6 linked regions of the Mus musculus genome follow. The protein of the gene in region 1 purifies or fractionates together with the protein of each later gene. This does not show direct contact. Links are inferred from orthologs where the notes say so. Each region holds a gene or a part of one and is shown in the gene's direction. Other genes may lie near its edges.

Region 1 (3,968 bases):
CATTTTGATAGGATAAGGCCTGGAAGTTTTGTGTCCCTTGCCTGTACAGTGAAGTAATTTAATGATATTTTGGGTGACAAGGACTTCAGGGTCCTTGAAAGGACTGGTCTTAAGATTTCAGGAAGAGAACAGATGCCAAGACATGCAAAGCACCTTAAAAATATAGGCAACTCCTTTCACTTCACAATTACTAAACCCAAGGATCAGGGGTAGGGGGCTGGGATCTTCCTGAGTTAACCACTGGGCCAGCAACTCCGCGGGGCCTAATACAGGTTTCCTTGCCCGGCCGAGTGCCTTTTCCATTACACTGGCTGCGCCTCAGTAACCCCACCTCCGAAAGTGCTAACGCAGTTCCCTCCCAGTGCCTACCCAGGCGGGGTGGGGCCCCCTCCGTGGCATGGAACAAACCGGGAAAACCACATATTCCAACTTCCAGCACACAAAGGCTGGTTGGCCGTGGGGGCGGGGTGGGAGGACCGGAGCTAAGACTCACTACTCAGAGATCCTAGGATTCTGAGGAGAGCTTCTAGATTGCCTTCTCAAGGAGGCCACCCTACTTTGTCCCGTGTCTCCTGGGCGGTGGCGGCATGGGGGCATCCTGCTTGGAGACCTCCCTCAAATAAATGGCCTGTTCTAGCTCCAGTGTCCCACCCCTTAGCTGCCCACGGAAATCTTGGAGGGACGGTCTTTTCCTTTCCTCTTTCCCCTCCGCCTCCTAAGCGTCACACAGTTTGGTTGATTTGGGTCATCGCCCCCTCTCCACTTCCAGTCTATCTCACTCCGGGCACTTTCCTTTAGTCCACCGTCCCACACCTTGGTAGGGAAAACGCGCTCCAAAGCTAGCCCATTAAAAGTGCACGACTTCTGCCCGGCCGGCCGAAGGAGCTCCCGCAGCCTGGCATTCCTCGGATTCCAGCGCTGTGACGTCCCTGGGGACCGTGCGCCCGCAGCGGGGGAGCCCGGGCTCCTCTTTTCAGCGCAGGGCGCGCGTCCCCGAGGCTGGCGCGCGCCCTCCCCGGACGCATTCCTGGCCCGCCCAGCGAGCGCCCCGCGCGCTCCCCGCCTCCTGGCCCCCAGCACTGCGGAGCAGAGCCCGGGGCGGGGGAGCGCGGCCAGCGGCGCCTGCTCGTCCCCTCCCACCCGGCCCCTTCCTCCGCCCTCCCCGGCCGCTCGCGCTTCCTGGCGCTCGGGCTCTCCGGAGGCTCAAGTTCTGCACAACTTCTCCCGGCTGCCCAGCGCCTCGGCCGCGGGCCCGGCCAGCTAGCTGCGCTCCTCGGCTCAGCCGTCTCGTCCACAGGGCAGGTCCTCGTGGAGCATCTGGTACCAAGTGGCCGCTGGCGGTCCCTCTCTGCGCCCCACCTCTCTGATCGCCCGGGTCCCCTCGCGTGGGACGGCGGTGCTTAGGTTCTTGGCCCTTTCTCCTCCCCGGTGCGCCCGGCGCGCCGGCCGCTGCGTAACCCTCCCTGCGCCCCTCCTCTGCCAGCTCCTGGAAGCCAGTGGTGGGGACCCAGACTCCCTGATGGTCAACGTGCGGCACCCGGGGCACTCCCGGGCCATGTAAGCAGGTAAGCTAGCCGGTCGGGAGCAGATACTCCAGGCAGAGCCAACTTCGTTCGCCGCCGGGGACGCCGGGATGCGCGGTGGGGGCGCCAGGTGGCCGGCCGCCGGTTCTCTTCGCTAGCAGTGCTCGCTCGTCCGGGATTGAGCTGGAAGGGGAGCGCGGTCTGGGACTCGGATTCAGCCAAAACATCGCCTCCAGCTCCTGTTGTGTTTGCGAGCAGGGGAACAGAGCGCAGAGCCCAAAGCTTGTCCTGTGCCTCTGTGGGCACTGGGTTTGTGAGGGGGTTCTTGTGCCCTCTCCCCAATACCTCAGCCTTGATACCAAACTCCTGAGTCTCTTGGCCCCGGCTTGGGTGATCCTTACAGGCGCGCAGGGAAAAATACCTTCATCTCAGACCAATCTCCAACTCGAACTTTGCAAGTTCTGAGAGTTAACAGCCCCTTTCCCACGTGACGCCACATCTAGTTTTAAATCTTTGGGAATGGTTTTCCTATCTTTTCTGGGAGGAATTGATGTGCGCTGTCACTATCCCGCTTTGCCCTTCTTCCTTTGGTTTGAGGAGATATTGGGGTCTTGAGTTTAGTTGGTTCACGGATTAGCTGGGTCCTACTTAGGCGAGTTCAGACTGCTGCTGAATGGGTGTATGTATGGTCAATTTCCAAAATGCGTTAATTTCTTGAAATGGATTTCCTCCCTCATTAATTCAACAAACTCAGTGGTGAGTCTTCCCCTGTGCTAAGAGATCACATTACAAGAGTCTGCAGCACCCTGCAGGCAGCCGTGGGCGGATGGGGACATGTGCTGTGAGAGAGGGGTTCTGAGACTCTTGGGAAGGCCAGGCCCTGGAGGAAAGGGGTTACCTTCGTTGAGGGAATGATGCTCAACTTAGGAGTGGTTGAGGGACCGCATTCCAGAGGAGGGAACAGCTTGGGCAAAGTGAGGGGCGCGGAGAGGGGCGTGCAGAAAGTCTTGGAGAGCGACCTGGTGGCTGGCTGGGCATGTATGGGCAGGTTGGTGCAATGTTGCTGGCATAGTTAGCCCCCACCCCAGCAGAAACGAAACCGGAAGTCTTTTACCCACTTCCCGTGACCAGGAGTAGCTTCCAAGGATCAAAAGCGTTCCCTTGGACATGTTCCCTCCCCTGATGTGTTTCCCACAGGGTTCTGTAGGGTGACAGGTGTTTAATTGTCGTTAATTTACCCATCCTTGGTTTTGTTAAAGTATCCCCGTGAGGACCATCCCACCCCACTACAGAACCTTGTCCTGAGAGCTTTTGACATGGGGAGAGCAGTTTGTGTCTTACAAGTGGAGTTTCCTCTTTGGTGCTGGGGACAGAACCTGGTCCAGGCCTCGTGCTCACCAGTCACCAGTGCTCATCCCTTTCCCAGATCCCTAACAGCTTTCTTCCCTAGCAGCACTCTTACCCGTGTGACTGTGTGGCTGGCACGTGGAGAATCAGTTGAAGGATGTGGCTATGTATCTCAGAATCACTGCTTTTAAAAGGAGTTTCCACCAGATAGCGGTGGCACACGCCTTTAATCCCAGCACTTGAGAGGCAGGCGGATTTCTGAGTTCGAGGCCAGCTGGGTCTACAGAGTGAGTTCCAGGACAGCCAGGGCAGGCTACACAGAGAAACCCTGTCTCGAAAAACTAAAAGAAAGAAGGAAAGAAACAAACAAACAAACAAAGAAGTTTCTGAGTTTCCGCAGCATCTTGAGGTTTTCTTTGCTCTCTCTGAACCTGTAGAAACCGAAATTTTCCATCCTTGTAACTCAGGGTCCAGCACACACTGCCTGCAGAGCTCCTCAGTGCAGGAGAGGTTGTCCACAGTCACCTCTCTGGGGGACTTGTTCACTGGGCTGAAGTGCATATTCCTAGTGGTCGGTCCTGGCTAAGACGCAAGGTCTCCAGCCTTCATGTATCTTAAGCTGCCGGAGCGGTTCCTTGCAATTTAGGGTGTTTATTCAGGACTCTCTCTCAGCCCAACTCCGATCCCAAGAGCAAGCATGTCCACGGTGGAAGATCTGGAATGTGTGTGGGACCTGCATGAGAGAAATGTGTGTCAACAGGCCGCTGCTTTGTGCTGCTTGGTCCCGGGTCTCCTCGAGGCGTTCTTCCTTGGTGTGTACAAACTCATAGCACCGCAGTTACTCAAGCTGGTGTGAGTTATGTTCCACGGTCAGCTGGAAGAGAATCACCTTAGGGAGACGTTTAATGTTGGCACACCACAAAGAATTCAGAGGCAATCAGGGCTTCCAGACGAGTTCTTCCTTGCCCCAGGGATGAGCAGAAGCCCACGGCTGTGAGGATTTCCCCAGTGTATGCTTTTTTTACTGGATTCCTTTCCCAATGGGGGATACAAGTATTGGCCTCTTCCTAGCAAATTGAGCTCACCTGGGTTCCAGAG
Region 2 (3,315 bases), on another chromosome or scaffold:
CCATTTGGGGAGTTTTTATATGGTTTCCAGGGCATCAGCATCTAGGCACAATATGATTGGCGGAACAGGGCACCCTTTAAACTGATTGGTCTTTAGGGAATGAGGTGACAAGGACTTCCCTTGTCTGAAGGTGGGCAATGGTCAGTCCTGCAGAATGTGTCCCCACCTGCAGGTCGGTTCCACCCTGTTGTCTGAGAAATGTTAATTAGTCTCGCCCTTCAGCAAGGGCAAGTGTTTCATTACCTTCCCAAAGTTCCTGAGCTGACCTTTTCAAGGGCACTGGCTGTTCTTCTAGAGGTTCTTGGGTTCAATTCCCAGCAACCACATGGCGGCTCACAACCATCTGTAATGGGATCTGATGCACTCTTCTGGCACACAGGTATACATGCAGATAGAGTACTCATATACATAAAACTGAACGCATTTCTTTTTTAAATAAAAATTTAAAAACAAAAATCAAAAGTGAAACAAACAAAATTGAGTCATTTTCTTGGTCTGTAAAATCAAAGCTACTGTAAAATCTCCCCTCCCAAGTGCCTGAGGAGCAGGTAAGAAACACACTTCACTAGGCGTGTCCTGTCACAGTTCCTTCAGGCACAGGAAGGGCTTCTATTCCCTGCCTCAATCCTCAGTGGTCATCGGTGGATGATGTGAATATAACCCTACACAATGCCTTCTACACAATGCCGACTCTATGGTACAGACTCTGCATTGCTAACAGCGCCTCCTGCAGGCCAGAGGACTCTCTCCCACCTCACACTCTTGCTTGCCTTACCTCCCAGGTGGATCGTGGGGAGCACAAGAGTGAGTTGCAAGCCGACAAGATGATGAGAGCTGCTGCCAAGGATGTGCACAGGCTTCGAGGCCAGAGCTGTAAGGAGCCCCCAGAAGTGCAGTCTTTCAGGTGAGTGGATAATCCCAGTCTCATGCCTTCCGCTACCCCACCAGCTGCCTGGCCTTTATCGTCTTTGCTGGCCTCGTGTTCCCTGCTCCTGGGCACTGAATGCCCCTGTTGCTAGCAGAGCTGTAGCCTACATGGGAACAGATGTTCATCCTCTGCCAGGCTCCCATAATGCTGTGAGTACTGTGGTGCTCTGGGACCAGTCCCCACACAGCTCAGCCCAGTTTGTGAGATCCTCTTGTTTAATGAATGAACCACCTGCCTTATCCTTTCCTCTCAGCCTTTTCGGTACCTGGTAATTGCAGGGGCCTGGCTGGTGATAAAGAGGGGAGTGGCGTGCAATGGATGCTCACCTAATTTCCTGCCTCGGCTTGCTAGCCTGCCTAATAGAATCACAGCTGGGTGCTTGCCTTGCTGGACCTACACGTGTCAGAGGAGGGTCACAGATGTCATTTGGTGTGGGCCTTCCAACACAAAGGGATTTAGATTCATCCTCCATCCACTATAGTGTGAGTTCAAGGCCAACCTGTGTTCCATGAGACCCTGCCTCAAACACACACAAAAAACAAAAATAAACCAATGTTCATATACATACACACACACACATATATGCATATGTATATGTATGTGTTTCCTGTATTGATCATGCTAATGGGTCAAGCATGATTTTGTCTCCTATGTCACTCGCTGCAAAGATATTTGACTGTGTGTGTGTGTGTGTGTGTGTGTGTGTGTGTGTGTTGTTAAAGATGGGACTATGTGGATAGGAACTCAAAATCTCGGACCCAAGCTATGTTTGTCTTGAGCCTCTCAAGTTGCTGGGACTAGAGGCATGTATCACCATGTTCAGGGTTCATAGATTTCAGATTTCACAGCCAGAGTTCAGGCATGCTAACAGCATTTAATAGTGGCCAGAGCTATCACTAAGTATCCTACAGTATATAGTAGAGGTGTCTCTCAGTGGCAGACTGTGTGATTGGGATACATGATGCCCTGACCCTGAGCAGGGCTTTATCCTGTCCATACCTATGTGTTCAGTGAGGTTGAAACACCTGTTTTCCATCACAGGGAGAAAATGGCATTTTTCACCCGGCCTCGGATGAACATCCCAGCTCTCTCTGCAGATGACGTCTAACCACCAGAAAAGTATTTCCTTTGTCTCGTGCGCGCGCGTGCAGACCAAGCTGTGAAGGCTGACTGTGACTAATGTTATTTATGAGGCATTATATGAAGGTACTGAGTCACAAGTCCCCGAGCGCTCTTGTTGGTTTGAAGACAGATTTTTTTTTTAAATTTCAGGTTTTCTTGTTATTATTTAAAAAAAAAAATGACAAAGCAACCATAACAACAAAAACAAAAACCAAACAAACAAAAAAACCAGCATTAAAATGACAAGATTGTATAGTTTGTATATTTAGGAATGTATTTTTGGGAAAGAATTTAAATGAACTAAAGCAGCATTAAGTGGCTGCTAGTCTTAAAACTGTCTAGAGTTTTCTTTTTGTACAGCAACAACTTTCAGAGGTTTCCCTGCAATAATAAAAAAAAAAAAAGTTGTATTTGAGGGGCGACAATCCTCAAAGGAGGTCCCGCGGGTGGCACAGCACAGCTAGCCTGCCCTGGTTAACGTTATTTTGTACAATAATACAAAGACAAGGATGTACAGTAATCGTGGGGGAATTCGAAGACTGTCCGCGGATCTTTGTGAGCTGTGATGTGTCTTTCATGTGGCCACGTGACCGTGACCGGAAGCAGGTAGCCTGGAGCTGGCTGAACCGCCCGGACTGGTGACAGGCCACGCCCAGGCCACGCCCATCTCAGATGCCCAGTGACGCAGCTGTGGGAGTGAGGGGAGGGCTGCGGAGAACCGCATTTGGATCTATCTCTAACAATAAAGTGGCCTTTTAAGAAAGAGCTTCTTGTCATTTGTCCCTTTCACATCTTCACTTTTATTATGTCCCTGATTTCACTCAGCTCCAAATCCTGGGGGGGGAAATTTTGTTTTCCTTTTTCTTTTATTTTTCGAGTTATACTTATTTGTCCGTTAGATAAAAGTGACTGCTCAGCTCTTTGGGAACCTAAGGTCTGGTGGTGTATGTCTGTGTTTCCAGAACCTGCAAGGTGGACGCAGGAGTTTGAGACCTTCTCAGCAGTATGAAAACCTGTCCTTAAAAACTGAGCCTGGAGAGATGGCTCAGGAGTTAAAGGCACTGGCTGCTCTTCCTGGAGAACAGTATTTGATTCCAAGCACCCATATCGTGGCTCACAGCTATATGTAATTCCAGTTTCCGGGATCTGAGACCCTTTCTGGTCTCTGTGCATACCAAGTATGCATATGGTGCACAGACAGACATGCACCCACAATGCACATAAATAAATGACTAATGGGACATTGAGAGATGTGTCAGCAGTTA
Region 3 (3,500 bases), on another chromosome or scaffold:
CACTTCCCCGTCCCCATTATTAGGGGCTCTTTGGAGTGAAACAAAGGTGAGAGGGGACATACAGACCCCAAACAGCCACGGAATGAGGGGGCATCTTGCCTTGAGCTGCCAGTCCTTCTGCCTAGCCTGCCTGAGTGTTAGCATCACACGTATACCATGCCTGGCACCCCAGAGTCTTGTTTTGCTTCCCCTGATTTTATCTAATTAATTAATTTTACTAGTTTTTTGAGGCAGGGTCTCTCTGTGTAGTCTTGACCACTCTGGAATTCACTACGCAGACCAGGCTGGGTTTGAACTCACAAAAATCCACCTGCCTCTGCCTCCCCAGTGCTGGGTGTAGGCCATACATCTGGCTATCCCAGCGTCTTTACTGGGTGTGTTGGTCTCTCGTTTGTGCCCTATTGTAGTGGAGCCTTCCAGTCAGGCCCAAATCCTGGCTGCACCCCTTGCTAGCTGGAGACCGAGTTCAGGTGATCTGTAATTCAGTTTTTTTCTGAGTGTGAACAGGGTGTATCCCCAGACTCCTGCAAGGGTGTTGGAAGATTTGGTGTCGAGCCTAGGTGTTCTGTGAGATTCTATTCTTACCGTATGTTATCAGGTAAAGAAGGCTGTGACTCACCAGCTCTCTCCTCTGCTAACTTCCCTTTCAGGCACAAAATAAAGCTGTCAGGTCCAGCTCCCCATTCTGTACCAGAGTTGACAGTGTCTGCATGAGGTCCCTCTGTCCCTGACATCTCTAGAAGCCCTCATCTTCTCTGTCTGCTTCAGTACACATTGCATTAGCTCACCTGAGGAGCCTTCTGGGACCTTGGGCATCCTGCTCCCCGCTTTTCCTACTACCTGTCAAGTGTAAATGCTTTGTGTGGTATCAGATGGTCGAGTGGCCCTGTGGTTTCAGACCTGTGGTGAACCACCATGCCCCCAATCCCTTTGGCTTTGAGTTGGGAATTTCTGGTTTGTGTGGCAAATGGTGGAATGATAGCCAGCGGCACTGGCTGATTCCTGGTAAGCCGTAAGCCTTGGTCACCAAAGCTAAAAAAATAAAAGTGAGAGTACATTCGTGAAGACATTCAGTGCCCGGGAGAGGAGCCAGGACTTGGCCTTGATGGGGGTGGGGGGCAGTAGCGGTTCTCAGATAGGAGACATTTAACAGGATATAGGTGACCCCGATCAATTCGTAGCCCAGTTTCAGCAACACGGGTAGGTGGCTGTCTTGGGAGGGCAGGCTGGTGGGTAAAACAGCCTATTGAGGCCTCAGAAAACATAGCTGTCAAAGGCTATGGTCCTAGCCTGCGAGTGTGGGCTCTAACCTGAAGGTGGCTGTTTACCAACAGCATCTGGACTGTGAGGGAGTGTGCAGCTTGGTTATGCACCCATGGACCTCTGACCATTCTTCTCTACAGCTCACGCCCGGAGGCAAAGCTGCACAGGCCGGTGTGGCTGTGGGAGACTGGGTACTGAATATTGACGGTGAGAACGCGGGCAGCCTCACGCACATCGAAGCCCAGAACAAGATCCGCGCCTGTGGGGAGCGCCTCAGCCTGGGTCTTAGCAGGTACAGGTGCTGACAGGCAGAAGGGGTGTGGATAGCCTCTGGTCTCTTACCTGCTGTGACTGCGTCTCTCTTCTTCTCCAGAGCCCAGCCTGTTCAGAGCAAACCACAGAAGGTAGGTTATACAGGAGATGTCCTGGCTGAGAGAGGGAGGGGCTTAGCCTGGGCTAACCTACCACCCCTGGCCCAGCCTTGGGACCCTCTCTCTGGCTAAGGGCAGACGCCAGAACAGGCAGGGTCTGGGGAACATGAGAGTGGAGCTAGGAGCTGCCGCACGGTCCGGGCGCCACACGTGCCTGCCTGCCTATCTGTCTGCCTGCTTCTTCCCACAAGCCTGTGCTGTGTGTGCCTACCCACCCTTGGTCACCCTTGGTCCAGAGCGGGTTGAATTCATCACTTCCCAATGGGCCCCTTGAAGTCGTAGTTACTACCCCTTCATCCTAGCCTCTGGCCAGATGTGTAAGAGTGGGCCGGACCTGTCACTGTTCTTGGTGGTGGTGACTCCGCTCCCACCTCAGCCTCAACTCCCACCCACCCACCCACCCTGCCCGGCTCTGTCTCTGCCCAGGCCCTGACCCCTCCCGCCGACCCCCCGAGGTACACTTTTGCACCAAGCGCCTCCCTCAACAAGACGGCCCGGCCCTTCGGGGCACCCCCACCTACTGACAGCACCCTGCGGCAGAATGGGTATGTCAGCCCCTGCCCATCCACTCCAACCTCTGCACACTGTCTGGTCCTTTCACAAGCACACACACAAGCTGCCTGCTACCGCTCAGTCTGTGCCGGACCCCAGCCCCTTAACCGTGTGGCAGCAACCCCTGGCGGCCGGGTGGGGCTACTGCTCTTCCACAGGCTCTGCCCTGCTGAGCAGCCTGGGGTTAGCCTGTGCTGTGGGCCAGCTGAGTCTCACAAACTCGTTGCTACCTCGCCTCCCTCTCCACCACTCTGATTCCCCCTGTCATTCTTCTCCTGTGTCTGTCCCTTTATCTGTCTATCTGTCTGTTTCCTTCACAGGTGCAGACCTCTGACAAGTTAGTGAGCCCTCTCTTCCTGTCACTTTCCTCCCTTTTGGCACTCTGGGTGGTGGCCCCTCCCTGTCCTGCCTGTCCTGACCTCCTCTGATTTACCCACCTACCCAGCCAAACCCTTTGCCTCACCCTCCTACCCCCCAACCCCCTGCTGTCACCAGAACCCGTGCACATCACGTCCTGGGAGGGGCAGCCCCTGGTGCCCACAGAACCAGAGGTTCTGAGCTCTGCCCTTCCCATAGACAGTTGCTCAGACAGCCGGTCCCCGATGCCAGCAAGCAGCGGCTGATGGAGGATACCGAAGACTGGCGGCCGCGGCCGGGGACAGGCCAGTCCCGCTCCTTCCGCATCCTTGCCCACCTCACGGGCACAGAGTTCAGTAAGTGCTGGCCCAGGACAGGGCAGACTCTCCTGACCTCAGCCTGGGCCTGACTTTGCCAGGACTCATGGCTGGGGTGGCCCTTGTTTCTCTTGGTCAATGCCTGCCTCTGTCCTCTCAGTGCAAGACCCGGATGAGGAATTCATGAAGAAGTCAAGGTAAAAGCTTGGGCGCTAACCCCTCTCCCTAACCTCCCACTTCTTCCTTTCCAGCCACCAGCCCTCGGCTGCTCCTGGCCATCCCCTGCCAGAGCTCTCTTCTGTCCCTTCCTCCTTTCCTTCCCTCCATCCTCCCTGCCTCCCTTCCATCTCTCCTTCCTTCCACTTCCTCCTCCTCCTCCTCTCTCTCTTTCTCTGCCCCTCAGGGAAAAGTATGTCCTGGAGCTACAGAGCCCACGCTATACACGTCTCCGGGACTGGCACCACCAGCGCTCTGCCCACGTGCTCAACGTGCAGTCATAGCCTGGCCTTCCCAGCCTGCTGCCCTCTGCTTCCTTTCTCTGTTACTCACTCCAGGGCACCCCACGGGTGCCTCCAGCTCT
Region 4 (3,500 bases), on another chromosome or scaffold:
AATGATGAAAAGACCTTTCATTCTCTTGAATTGGAAGAATTAAGATCATGAATAGCTAGCTATAATGCCAAAATTAATGTATGGATTTCAGTGTGACTCTTCTCAAAATTCGATGTTATTTCCCAGAACAACAACAAAAAAAAAAGCAATTCAAGAATTCATAAACTGTTACTAATAATTATTTTTCATAGTCTAAATTTTTTAGAGTTAATATTAACAATGACATTATTTATTTATTTTTAGAGTAATACTAGTAATTTTGGGTTTGAGACTTACTTCCAATACTAGTTTTAGAGTATAGATTCTAGAATCGATTCCATAGATCCCAGGGTAGGACTGAACTTACTGGGTTCACTGTGGTAGCTTTGTCTTTATGTTGAGGAATGTAGAAATTGCTTTCTTTTTTGTAGTGTGCTTAACATGTATGGAAGGATATTAGAATACATCTAACTCGTGAAATGTAACTGAAAGAACACAGAGCTGTCCAGAATGACTGAATAAATGAGAACTTCCAGCACTCTTGAAACTTTCTGTCTTCTTCCACTTATTACACTCCATTGTACTGATAATAGACTGTGACCAAAATCAAAGAGGGGAAGAAAGGCTCTGTTTTGCTTACAGTACCAGATGACAGTCTATCACTGATGGAAGTCAGGGCAGGAATCTAGAGGCAAGAATAACTGAGTAGGTCTGCTTGCTGACCCACTTTCTGGGTCATTGATTGGCCCTCTTATGCAGCACAGGAAACCTTATAAGGATATAGCACTTCCTACAGTGGACTGGGTCTACAGTAAGGACCAACACAATTCCTCACAGATATGCCTACAAACAAACCTGATACAGATAATTGTTCAATTAAGATTTTGTTAGGTGTTTCTGGGTTGTGTCAGGTTAACAGTTAATTTTAACTAGCATAGCTGCGCTCCCTGAACACACTCTCTCTAGATTTTTACTTATTTTTCTGTAGCTTTCACAGAAGAGGTATTTTAAAACTGAAATCTAGCATATTGTGGATTGTATACCAAGTATCTGGGCATGGTCTTGATATGGTTGTTTTTTCATGAAACACAATGGATCTCCATGAGCTTAATTGTAATGTTTTTACTGTTTGAGGTTCAAATACTATTTAGGAGTCATATACACCCCTGCTCCTCTCTCAAACATCTAGACCCCCCTCACTCCCTCATTGCCAAATTCTTGCCCCTTGCCTTTGTTAATAACACATGGAGCCCAATTTGTGCTGCCCATATACTCATGGGTGTGGAGCCAGCCATCGGACCTTGGTCAACCTACCCTGGGGCCACATACTTAAACAAAACTGACTCTCACTCCCCAGAGGCCCTCAATAGCCAGGTGCTCTTCAGTTAAGGGTGGGGGGCTCGTGCTGGGATGTCGACTGGCTTGATCATTTCCAGATCTTGTGCTGACAGCCATAGCCACTGTAAATGCGTAAGTGCCGTGGCCCTGCCATGTTCAATAGACACTGCTCTATTGCAGTTCTCCCTGGACTCTGGATCCAACATTAGCAATGTGCCTGAGCCATACAGGAGGAGAGTGGTAGAGAAGTCCCATTGTTGCTGAACACTCTACTGACTCAGATTCAATTTTAAGTCAATTTTCCTAAATTTGTAGAGATTATTTCAATATGATCAAAGTAAAAAAGAAAGCTTTTTAACCTTATGTTATATTAGTCAGCCTTCTCTCTACATCAGAACCCTGAGTTAGTCAACAGATGGTCTGTTTAGATTCACACTTTTATGTGTTTCAGTCCTTGCTTGACTGGCCCATTTCTTTTGGCCTAAGGCATCATATTCTAGCGGGATGTGACAAAGTGACAATGTTCCCCTAACATCCAGGAAGCAAAAGAGAAAAGGCAGGCTTCCTTCTTTTAGGTGTGCCCCCAGTATTTCTGGTTCCACCACTCACCCCACCTCTAAAAATCTCAACTGCTTCCAAGTATGCCAAGTGGGGTACCAACCTCCTAGTACACAAACCTTGAAGGACACTCAAAATAAAATCCTTTGCTTTTTTTGTAGGATTGGCAATAATAGTTTCTGTCTTGGTACTTAATATGTAAAAAAAAAAAAGAAAAAGGAAAAAAGAACTTTTGTTTTCAGTTGAATTAAGAGAAAAAAGAAGTGACTGAGATACTGGCCCAACAACCACATTCAATCTTTTTTTTTTTTAAGATTTATTTATTATATGTAAGTACACTGTAGCTGTCTTCAGACACACCAGAAGAGGGCGTCAGATCTCGTTACAGATGGTTGTGAGCCACCATGTGGTTGCTGGGATTTGATCTTCGGAAGAGCAGTCAGGTGCTCTTACCCACTGAGCCATCTCACCAGCCCCCACATTCAATCTTATTATTGATTATGCTGTGTCTATGTATTTGGGAGAGTTATGCACCAGGCCAGGGCTTAACAAAGACAGCCAGTTAAAATAGGTGATTATCAGCATGGCATGCTCGTGACATATGATGCCGTGTGCACAGCCTCATGGCTCGGCCACAGGCAGGGTTGACGAGTCTAGTAAAGAGGGTACCTGATTACTAAGGAAGATTGGGATAAAACCAGTGCAACTGGTTTCTTAACTTTGGTTTTAAAAAGTCAGCGTGCATGTTTGTATGAGTCTGCATGTGTGTGCATGTATGTGTGTGTGTGATTGTGCATGCATGTATGTGTATGTATGTGCATGCATGCATGCCTATACATGTGTCTTTATATCTCCATTAATCAGTTTGGTAGGTGGAGAGAGGCAGAATGCCCCTTCACTAGGATGGATGAGTCTCCTATTCTGAAATATTCAATATGCAGTGAGGGCTTGGCTTGCTTTATCCAAGTCAGAATCTTATCAGACTCATAGAGCTGAGCTTTGAAAACAAGTGCCTTTTTGTATACAGGCCAGTTTCCTATGGTAGGGCAATTCATTATCGTGTATAAACCACACAATTTTGCTTATGTATAATTCTTAACCAGGTATTAATAAAACATTCTGCTTTATTTGAAAAAACATTTGGATTTTCTAATCTTTTTACTCTGTTTATGACATTATTCACAAGATTAGCTGCTTTTATTATGTTAATTTTATTAAAATCTACTTTATTATTATTATTATTATTATTATTTGTAATTTTCTGTTTGGCTTTTGTTTTTAGGATGGACGTTTGAAGCCAGGAGATCAACTTGTCTCAATAAACAAGGAATCTATGATTGGTGTATCATTTGAAGAAGCAAAAAGCATAATTACCAGAGCCAAGTTGAGGTAACGATTCCACCCCTATGATAGGATGAGTCATTTAGCATCTATATCTAAAGGTGGAGACTAGGATATCTTAAAGGTCTCGCTCTCCTAGGAGTACTGTCTTTGCGTTTACTTCACTGTATTTGTCACATATCCACATAGTAATCTCTTTACATCGTAGGTCAGAATCTCCCTGGGAGATAGCATTCATCAGACAAAAGTCTTACTGTGGCCATCCAGGAAATATTTGCTGTCCA
Region 5 (3,500 bases), on another chromosome or scaffold:
CCTTTCTGGATGAAGACACCAGAAGGACAGGGCTGGTAAGGAGCTCAGACAGCCGAGTGCAGAAAGAGGACTGCAGTCATAGTCCCCTGGGAGGAAGGACACTTCAGAGTCTGAAGAAGACCTGCAGCCCAGGTGCCCTCGGCGGAGAAGCTTGATGACGACATGAAGGGCAGAAACTGCTGCCCTACTAAGTTTCTGTGGCTTTTTAGGGTTCCTCTATCGTCCCTCTAGTGACTCCAGCAAGAAGTTTATGTAGAGGAAGAGGACCCTCTTCTGTCCTCTGCAGGCTATGCATGCATGTGGTACACAAACCTACACAGAGACAAAACAGCCATCCACATAAAACAGTGAAAATGAATACGGTAGAAAATGATCTCCAAGGATACCAGACATCAACATCAACCTCTGGCCTACATACCACACACACAGACACTCACCCCCCCCCCCCCTCACTCACTCACATGAGCCCAAAGCCCAGCCTGGTAGCTGAGAGCAGCCTACAGGAGCTGACACAGGAGCTGCTGAGCAAGATCACGGCCTGGAGAACGGGAGAAAAGCCCTGTGCATTAAGAAATCTGATATGTAGGATATATATATATATATATATATATATTGGCAGTGTTTGGGGCTTCCTCCAGACCATCATGTCTTCTGACTCAGTTCTTCTTTGCATTAATTTTTCTTCCTGATTGAATAGATTTGTCTAAGAGATTTCAAAAAGTAGCTGTTCTTTAAAATGCAATTGTGAAAGAATTGATCACAACAGTGTTACAGAAAATGGCAAAAATTACTTTTTTTTTGTTTTTTTCGAGACAGGGTTAAGAATTACTTTTTAATTGTAAGATATAATAGAAGTTGTGTTGTAGACAATCAAAGGAATAGGTACCTATAAATAAGATGAAATTGGGTAGGTTTTATTTTTTTTCTCCAAACCTAATTGTGTATAGCCCGACCTTGCAGGGCTGTGAGCTAGTGTGATTGTTCTGTGGCCTGTAGAGCACTGTCCCATGCCTTAGTCCCTTTGATCCCTTTACCTTTTGTCAGGTACACGCAGGAGGGAAGGCGAGCCCCTCTAGCCAGCAGCTTGCCAGAGGGTCCTGGGCTCACAAGCTGGGTATCCCAGAGCAGGATCAAGGCACTGCCTTCCTTGGATGAAGTCTCAAGTCCCCGCTGATTCAACTTGTGCATTTTCTTTCGATGCCTGACCTCTTTTGAAATGAGTTTGTTTCGAGATAAAATTGTACAGTGCTCTACCTGTACGGTAATGTGCTCCAAGAGATAAGACAGGATTGGGCCCAGAGCGCCCTGTGGAACGGCCTCTGTCAGCTAAAAGTCCCAGGAACTGAGCACTGTAGGCGCTATTTTATAGCAGCACTCAATGAATTCAGTACCTAAGGTGGCCTTTTGCATTTCCAAATTGCTGCCCAATGGTTTCTAGGTGACAAGTCAGCCTGCAGTCCCGTAAGATCCTGCAGTCTTTGCTGGGCTTTTGCTGGGCTTGGTGCCGCTGCTGTAACCCCTTTGCCATTTCTCCAAGACTGAGTTTTCCAAGCTCTGGGACTGGACGTAACCCCCAGTTAGTTTATTTATCATGGCTGTAACCTTGTTTGGTTCCTTCTCTCTTGGTTATTCTGTTTTCTCTTTACCAAGGTCAAACAGACATCCCCTTTGTCTTAGTCAGAATTTATATTCCTGGACAAAGCATCATGACCAAGAAGCAAGTTGGGGAGGAAAGGGTTTATTCGGCTTACACTTCCATACTGCTGTTCATCACCAAGGAAGTTAGGACTGGAACTCAAGCAGGTCAGGAAGCAGGAGCTGATGCAGAGGCCATGGGGAGATGTTCTTTACTGGCTTGCCTCCCCTGGCTTGCTCAGCCTGCTCTCTTATAGAACCCAAGACTACCAGCCCAAAGATGGCACCACCCACAAGGGGCCTTTCCCCCTTGATCACTAATTGAGAAAATGCCTTACAGCTGGATCTCAATGGGGCATTTCCCCAGCTGAAGCTCCTTTCTCTGTGATAACTCCAGCTGTGTCAAGTGACACACAAAACCAGCCAGTGCTCCCTTCTTACACGTGATTCTGGGATAATCAGGTTTTCTGTTGTTAATTTGGGTTTTTACACTTTCATTTGAAAATTAATGTCTTCTGTTGTTTCTCTTTTTTTCCCCTAGATTGAAATTGGAAGAGAAAAGAAAAGAGCTGCTACAGAAACTTGAAGAAACTACTAAGTTAACTACTTCCTTGTACTCGCAACTTCAAAGGTAAGCTAGCTATGTTCTTCAAGGGAACTGTTTCCCACAGCGTCCAGGCACGGCCTGGTCCTCTTTAGTTGGTTTTTAGCTGCTTAAAAGTGAACAAGTCAGTTACCCTCACTCAATTAATGTCTGAAGTACCAAATGCAGAAGTACATTTTCCCCTCCAAAATCCTTGTTTATATTTAGGATGCATTTTGAAATACCCCACAGAAAGAGGGTTGACTTTATCTGTCACTCAAGACTTGAGAAAATACCTTATCACAGCCGTTATCCCACCTGTTACCGACGAGCTGGAAGGTCCCTGTGAAATCGCTGATGTGACTTTCTGGCACGGCTTAGCATGTCACCCTGGCATTCCTGGTGAGCTGGGGCTCGGTGGCCTTCATAGGAAGCCTTTCTCCTTAGCGACAGAAGCTGCCCTGTATGAAGTATGAAGTGGCTGTGGATGACTCTGCAAGGCATTTGATTTTTTTTTTAAATTTAAATTTTGCAAAAGGTGCATCATTGGTAGTGGGAACGATAATCTTACTGTGAAGCCTTGGCTCGGCCTGAACTGGATATGTAGACCAGGCTGAACTTGACCTCAGAGGTCCACCTGGTTCTGAATCCTGAGTGTTGGGATTAAAGGTGTACACCGCTTTACCCGCTTGGATCATTAAATTTTTAAAAGACTAGTTAATGTATGTATGTATTTTTGAGACAGAGACTCTCTGTGTAGCTATCCTAGAGCTGGCTATGTGGACTAGGCTATCCTTGAACTCAGATATCTGTCTGCCTCTGAAGTTCTAGGATTAAAGGCGTGCGCCACCACTCCTGGTAGCTGTGATTGATGAGGTGTATGTGGAGAGCCAGGTTGGTGACAGTAGTGAGTGGGTAGGGAAGTCTGTGTTCCAGTAGAGACGTCCTCTGCCTGGGCTGTGGGAGCCACCGGGGCCTGTAGCTGTGTTTGTTGTGGAACGCAGAGTTTACAGTGTGTTGTTCTCCTGTTTCCAGCCTCTCCTCCAGCACACTGTCCATGTCATCTGGGAGCAGTCTAGGGTCCCTGGCCTCCAGTCGGGGCTCTCTGAACACCTCCAGCAGGGGGTCACTCAACTCCCTCAGTTCCAGTGAACTCTATTACAGCAGCCAGGGCGACCAGATGGACACAGACTATCAGTATAAACTGGACTTCCTTCTTCAAGAGAAGGGTGGCTACATTCCTTCCGGACCCATCACCACCATCCACGAAAATGAGGTGGTC
Region 6 (4,132 bases), on another chromosome or scaffold:
GACCAGCTGCTTCAAGCTCCGGTCACTAGGTATGAGCCAGCGTAAACTCCATTTCCCTTAAGTTGTTTTGGACCAGTCATTTATCACAGCAAGAGGAATAGGTTGAAGAAAAGTAAAATTGTCATGTACATTTTTGAGAGATTTTTGTGCACCATAGGCATATGCCCCTAACTTATATGTAAAATTAGGGGCTAGTAACTAATGGACCAGAGTGGAAAAGAATGAACGTTTGTTCATTCAAGTGGTATTTACTGAGTCCTACAAATACTCATGGAGCCTTAGTGTTCTTCTTGGTAGACTACTTTTTTCTCTTCTTCAAAAGTTGCAGCAACAACGGAGTGAATCAGAAAGGTGGTTTAATGTTAACAAGATATTTAGAACAGAAATGTTACAAGGTGATTAGGCTGAGAACTTGTTACCTATGGAGTAGTGAAGTTAAAGGTGTCACAGGCAACAAGAAGCCAGGATTCGTGAACTTTTCTGACAAGAGAACTAGTCGGCTCTGGGGTGGGTTTAAATTAATTTGTGAGGTCTAGCTGAGGTGTTTGGCTAAATGTACTATTTATTCTGGAAGAACTTTTGTTCTTTCTCTGAAGTAGAATGGCGGGCCATATGGTGAGTAATGTGGTCATTACACTGCAGTGTGACCTTTCTCGCAATGTAAATTACCAACAGCTCTTTTCTAAACCAGTTGACTCATTGTGTCAAAGAGTCAAGAGACAGCTACCTTTCAGAATTACTGTGTCCATTAACTGTACGAAAAGGGATATATGCACTTGCTCAATCAGTAGTAGCTTTGTCCCTGGGCCACTGTGGTGCCAAGAGAAAGGAACAATTTCATTACCAACACAATGGTCTCGTGTGACTACCATTACTAATGGACCCTAAATCAAATATTAAAGCGAGGTCAAGGGGTTTTCCTTCGCAGCCTACTTTGGCTGCGAAAGCACGGACGTGCCTGGAGGGTCTTCCCTGAGGTTATGCAGGAAGCTCTGCAGCTGACTGAACAGACCAGGTAGCTGCTGTTCACAAGTCACCACCGGCTTCCCGGCGGCTGCCCCGCCCCCTTTCCGGCTCTGGCTCCACCTCCTCTCCCTTATTGGTTGGCGTGCCTCTCCGCCTGACCGCCTGGAAGACCCGGAGGAGCGGAGTGGCCCCTAGGCGGGCTGGGCGCGCGCTCGCTGCGCATGCTCGAGGGCAGCTGGATTCCCGGTCTGGACCAGAGGCTCAGAGCGGCCCCGGCGGGGAGGCGCGCCCGTGCGCGGCAGCGGCAGCGGAGTCGCGAGCACGCTGCGCGCTCCCGAGGAAGGGAGGTGTAGGCCGGGGTGGGTGGGGGGAGGGCCGGGTGTCGGCGCGCTTGGCGTGCGGGATCCGAGTGGCTGCGGGCGGCCTGAGCTGCCCGGCCGACGCCTGCTGCGAGATGGCGATCTTGGGCGCGGAGGGCTGAGGAGGCGCCGCCGCGGTGGCTGCGGGCCCCGGGAGCCGCAGCTTTGCGCGGGTAAGTACAGCGGGGCTCTGGAGGGCGGCCGGGCCGGAGTTCGCCGGGGTGGGGTCGCCGGGCTTGCCCCGAGCTGGCCCTGGCACCGGCCTGTGCGGGTGACACCGGAGCCCGGCGAAGTGGCTCGGTGACTGCAGTGCTCAGCCTCCTGACCGGCGGCTTGCTGGCGTCCCAGCTTCCCCGCCTCAGAACTGCTGCCCTGACTTTCACCCGGATCCCACCGGCGCGAGCCGGGACGCCAGCCTCAGAACGTCCTTTTCTGACACGTTTTTAGCATTCAGCTTTTTTTTTTTTTTCACTGACTCCGCACCTCCTCTCACCAACAATCTTAATCTCCACCTTTGGTGACCTGGTAGGTTCAAGTGACCTTGCAAAATTTTCTAATCCTCATCTCGTGATTTGGGTCCTTTTCCTTTAAATCTTCTTTTAAAATGTAGTATTGTTAGGATTTGGTACTTTGCCCGTCGCCTTTAGCCTTTACAGTCCTTAAATGATCAGTTTGTGGCTTAGGGCTGTATGGCTTTCTACTCATCGGTTTGGAGTTGTAAGTTCTTTTGCTCTAAGCGATTCCTCTTCATTATTACCAAAAAGAAGGTGTATCTATTATGCTTTTGAAATATTTTACTCGTCCACCATAAAATATTTCACAAATGTCTGTGTTTTCCCTGTTAATGTTTCATCTTTTTGTGTGCATAAAATTGAATTCCTCCCCCTAAAATGCCGCTACTTAGAGTTATGGAAAAAAATGCCAGAGTTACCTTCCCACTCCCCATTTGGTGTTTTTTTTACCCCTGATGAAATACCCTGTTCACAGTTGTCTGTAGGTTTCTGTAAGAGTTTTTGCTTATGTATAAATCCACTTAACATGTCTCACCAAGTCTGTATGTAACTGCTAGTAAAACTCTCCTTTTAAAAAAGACATTCTTTCATTTATCTAACTTCCTTGAGCCATAAAACTATGTGCTTAAGCTGACTGAAAATTACCATTTTTTAAATAACTAGTTAACATTTTAAATTCAAAGATAATGTCCAAGTGTTGGAGCTGTTGAAATTGAGATGCTTGAGAAATGTGACTTAGCTCTTTGAGACATAGATTATTAACATTTCCAAATAATTCTTCACGTAAAATGTAGAGCTGCTTTTAAGACACTGTACTTTTGAAACCCAGGGCATGGCTGATCAGGTCTCTTGCCTTCAAAGAGATGGTAATCTCTTGAGTTGGCTGAAATTTCTGTTACATCCTTGCACAATTATTAAGCATCAACTGCATGACAGTGAGGTATTTGGAGGTATATGTAGATCAAATGGTTAGCAGCTTCTGTCTTTGCAGGCTATGGAGGAGGTATGTGTGTTGGGTTATATACCGATGCTCCTTTTATGTCCCTGTGAATAAATGGCAGGATCTCACTACAAAGCCCAGTCTGGCCTTGAACTTGCCATCTTCCTGCCTCTGAGGTCATAGGTCTATGCCACCATGCCCAGAATACCTTTGTGTGCGTGTGTGTATGTTTCATAAATATATAAAATTGTCTCAAGTCGAGTTCAGAGAGGGTACTTCTTACATGAGTTAAGGGGTTTTGTATTTTGAGGACTCTGGACTGAAGGGTGGCATGAAGGATGACAAGAAGTCAACAAGGAACTGTAGTTCATGTAGAGGACTCTAAGAGGGTTTGGATGGAGTCTGCAGGATTTCGGATATAGGGTAAGAAAATTTGAAATAAAAACCAAGACCAGTAACAAGGTGGTTTTTCTTTCTTTAGTTTTGTTTTGGAACAGGTCTTGCTACGTAGATGTGACTGTTCTGGAACTTGCTTGCCCTGTGGATCAGGTTAGCCTTGAACTCAGAGATCTACCTATCTCCCTCTGCCTTCCCAGCCTTAGAATTAAAGGGTTCGCTACCACTCTTGGCCCAAGAGTTATTATTAAATTGAGATGAATTTCAGGTTACTAGACAGTGTGGGGCCCACAGGAGATTGTTGAGTTTAAGAAACAATTTTACACCTTGGCTTAGAAAAATTAATCTAGTGGCATTGTGTAGTATGAATTGAGGTAGGAGGAACCTGGAAATTCATAAATTACCCCAGGATTTCCATCATTACAGATAGCAGGGGTCTGACCAAGTGGAAAGGACAGGAAAGCAGGATAGAATTTGGCAATCAAGTTAAAGTTAAAATAATTGCCAAGATGACTCAGTGGGTAAAGGTGTTTGCTGCCAATCCTGGTGACCTACACTTGATCATAAAACCCCCTTGGTAGAAAAGTAATCTACTCTCCAAAGTTGTTGTCCTCTGACCCTTATACTTGCACAGTGACACAAACACATCCTCTTCCCTTCACAAATTTTTTTTTTTTAGAAGTCGGGGTCTTACTGTGTTGCTGTGGCTGCTTTGGAACTCACTGTGTACACCAGGCTGGCCTCGAACTCACAGAGATCCACCTGCCTCTGCCTTCTGAGTGCTGGGATTAAGGCGTGCATCACTATGCCCAGCTGAAATAATTGTTTTTTTTAAAGTTAAAATAATGATTCTGACCCATGTCCATCGGGAAAGTGATGGTAGCATAGAAGTGTTATCTTTAGCAGGCCTGTATGATGTTCATAGGCTTTGGGGAATTACTAACTAAAGAAACTAAAGA

The links.
Region 2: the proteins of Ptpn14 (region 1) and Wwc1 purify together in Homo sapiens (affinity purification with mass spectrometry; 7 studies listed by BioGRID and IntAct, counting the BioPlex papers as one, with this or other methods). This does not show direct contact. The link is inferred for Mus musculus from reciprocal best matches to the Homo sapiens genes PTPN14 and WWC1.
Region 3: the proteins of Ptpn14 (region 1) and Pdlim7 purify together in Homo sapiens (affinity purification with mass spectrometry; 3 studies listed by BioGRID and IntAct, counting the BioPlex papers as one, with this or other methods). This does not show direct contact. The link is inferred for Mus musculus from reciprocal best matches to the Homo sapiens genes PTPN14 and PDLIM7.
Region 4: the proteins of Ptpn14 (region 1) and Stxbp4 purify together in Homo sapiens (affinity purification with mass spectrometry; 3 studies listed by BioGRID and IntAct, counting the BioPlex papers as one, with this or other methods). This does not show direct contact. The link is inferred for Mus musculus from reciprocal best matches to the Homo sapiens genes PTPN14 and STXBP4.
Region 5: the proteins of Ptpn14 (region 1) and Wwc2 purify together in Homo sapiens (affinity purification with mass spectrometry, with the first as the bait; 3 studies listed by BioGRID). This does not show direct contact. The link is inferred for Mus musculus from reciprocal best matches to the Homo sapiens genes PTPN14 and WWC2.
Region 6: the proteins of Ptpn14 (region 1) and Wwp1 purify together in Homo sapiens (affinity purification with mass spectrometry; 3 studies listed by BioGRID). This does not show direct contact. The link is inferred for Mus musculus from reciprocal best matches to the Homo sapiens genes PTPN14 and WWP1.

The regions. Positions count from the first base shown.
Region 1 is NC_000067.6:189,727,100-189,731,067, forward strand, and holds the start of Ptpn14 (tyrosine-protein phosphatase non-receptor type 14), read left to right. Parts: upstream 1-1,168; 5' UTR 1,169-1,565; intron 1,566-3,968. UniProt on the Homo sapiens protein: Protein tyrosine phosphatase which may play a role in the regulation of lymphangiogenesis, cell-cell adhesion, cell-matrix adhesion, cell migration, cell growth and also regulates TGF-beta gene expression, thereby modulating epithelial-mesenchymal transition.
Region 2 is NC_000077.6:35,837,899-35,841,213, reverse strand, and holds the end of Wwc1 (protein KIBRA), read left to right. Parts: intron 1-782; coding exon 783-904; intron 905-1,969; coding exon 1,970-2,036; 3' UTR 2,037-2,815; downstream 2,816-3,315. UniProt on the Homo sapiens protein: Regulator of the Hippo signaling pathway, also known as the Salvador-Warts-Hippo (SWH) pathway.
Region 3 is NC_000079.6:55,506,947-55,510,446, reverse strand, and holds part of Pdlim7 (PDZ and LIM domain protein 7), read left to right. Parts: intron 1-1,403; coding exon 1,404-1,555; intron 1,556-1,636; coding exon 1,637-1,667; intron 1,668-2,120; coding exon 2,121-2,239; intron 2,240-2,566; coding exon of another isoform or gene 2,567-2,583; intron 2,584-2,754; exon of another isoform or gene 2,755-2,822; coding exon 2,823-2,959; intron 2,960-3,080; coding exon 3,081-3,117; intron 3,118-3,323; coding exon of another isoform or gene 3,324-3,500. UniProt on the Homo sapiens protein: May function as a scaffold on which the coordinated assembly of proteins can occur. May play a role as an adapter that, via its PDZ domain, localizes LIM-binding proteins to actin filaments of both skeletal muscle and nonmuscle tissues.
Region 4 is NC_000077.6:90,607,109-90,610,608, reverse strand, and holds part of Stxbp4 (syntaxin-binding protein 4), read left to right. Parts: intron 1-3,157; coding exon 3,158-3,264; intron 3,265-3,424; coding exon 3,425-3,500. UniProt on the Homo sapiens protein: Plays a role in the translocation of transport vesicles from the cytoplasm to the plasma membrane. Inhibits the translocation of SLC2A4 from intracellular vesicles to the plasma membrane by STX4A binding and preventing the interaction between STX4A and VAMP2.
Region 5 is NC_000074.6:47,868,545-47,872,044, reverse strand, and holds part of Wwc2 (protein WWC2), read left to right. Parts: intron 1-2,176; coding exon 2,177-2,266; intron 2,267-3,253; coding exon 3,254-3,500. UniProt on the Homo sapiens protein: Regulator of the Hippo signaling pathway, also known as the Salvador-Warts-Hippo (SWH) pathway.
Region 6 is NC_000070.6:19,706,205-19,710,336, reverse strand, and holds the start of Wwp1 (NEDD4-like E3 ubiquitin-protein ligase WWP1), read left to right. Parts: upstream 1-1,332; 5' UTR 1,333-1,498; intron 1,499-4,132. UniProt on the Homo sapiens protein: E3 ubiquitin-protein ligase which accepts ubiquitin from an E2 ubiquitin-conjugating enzyme in the form of a thioester and then directly transfers the ubiquitin to targeted substrates.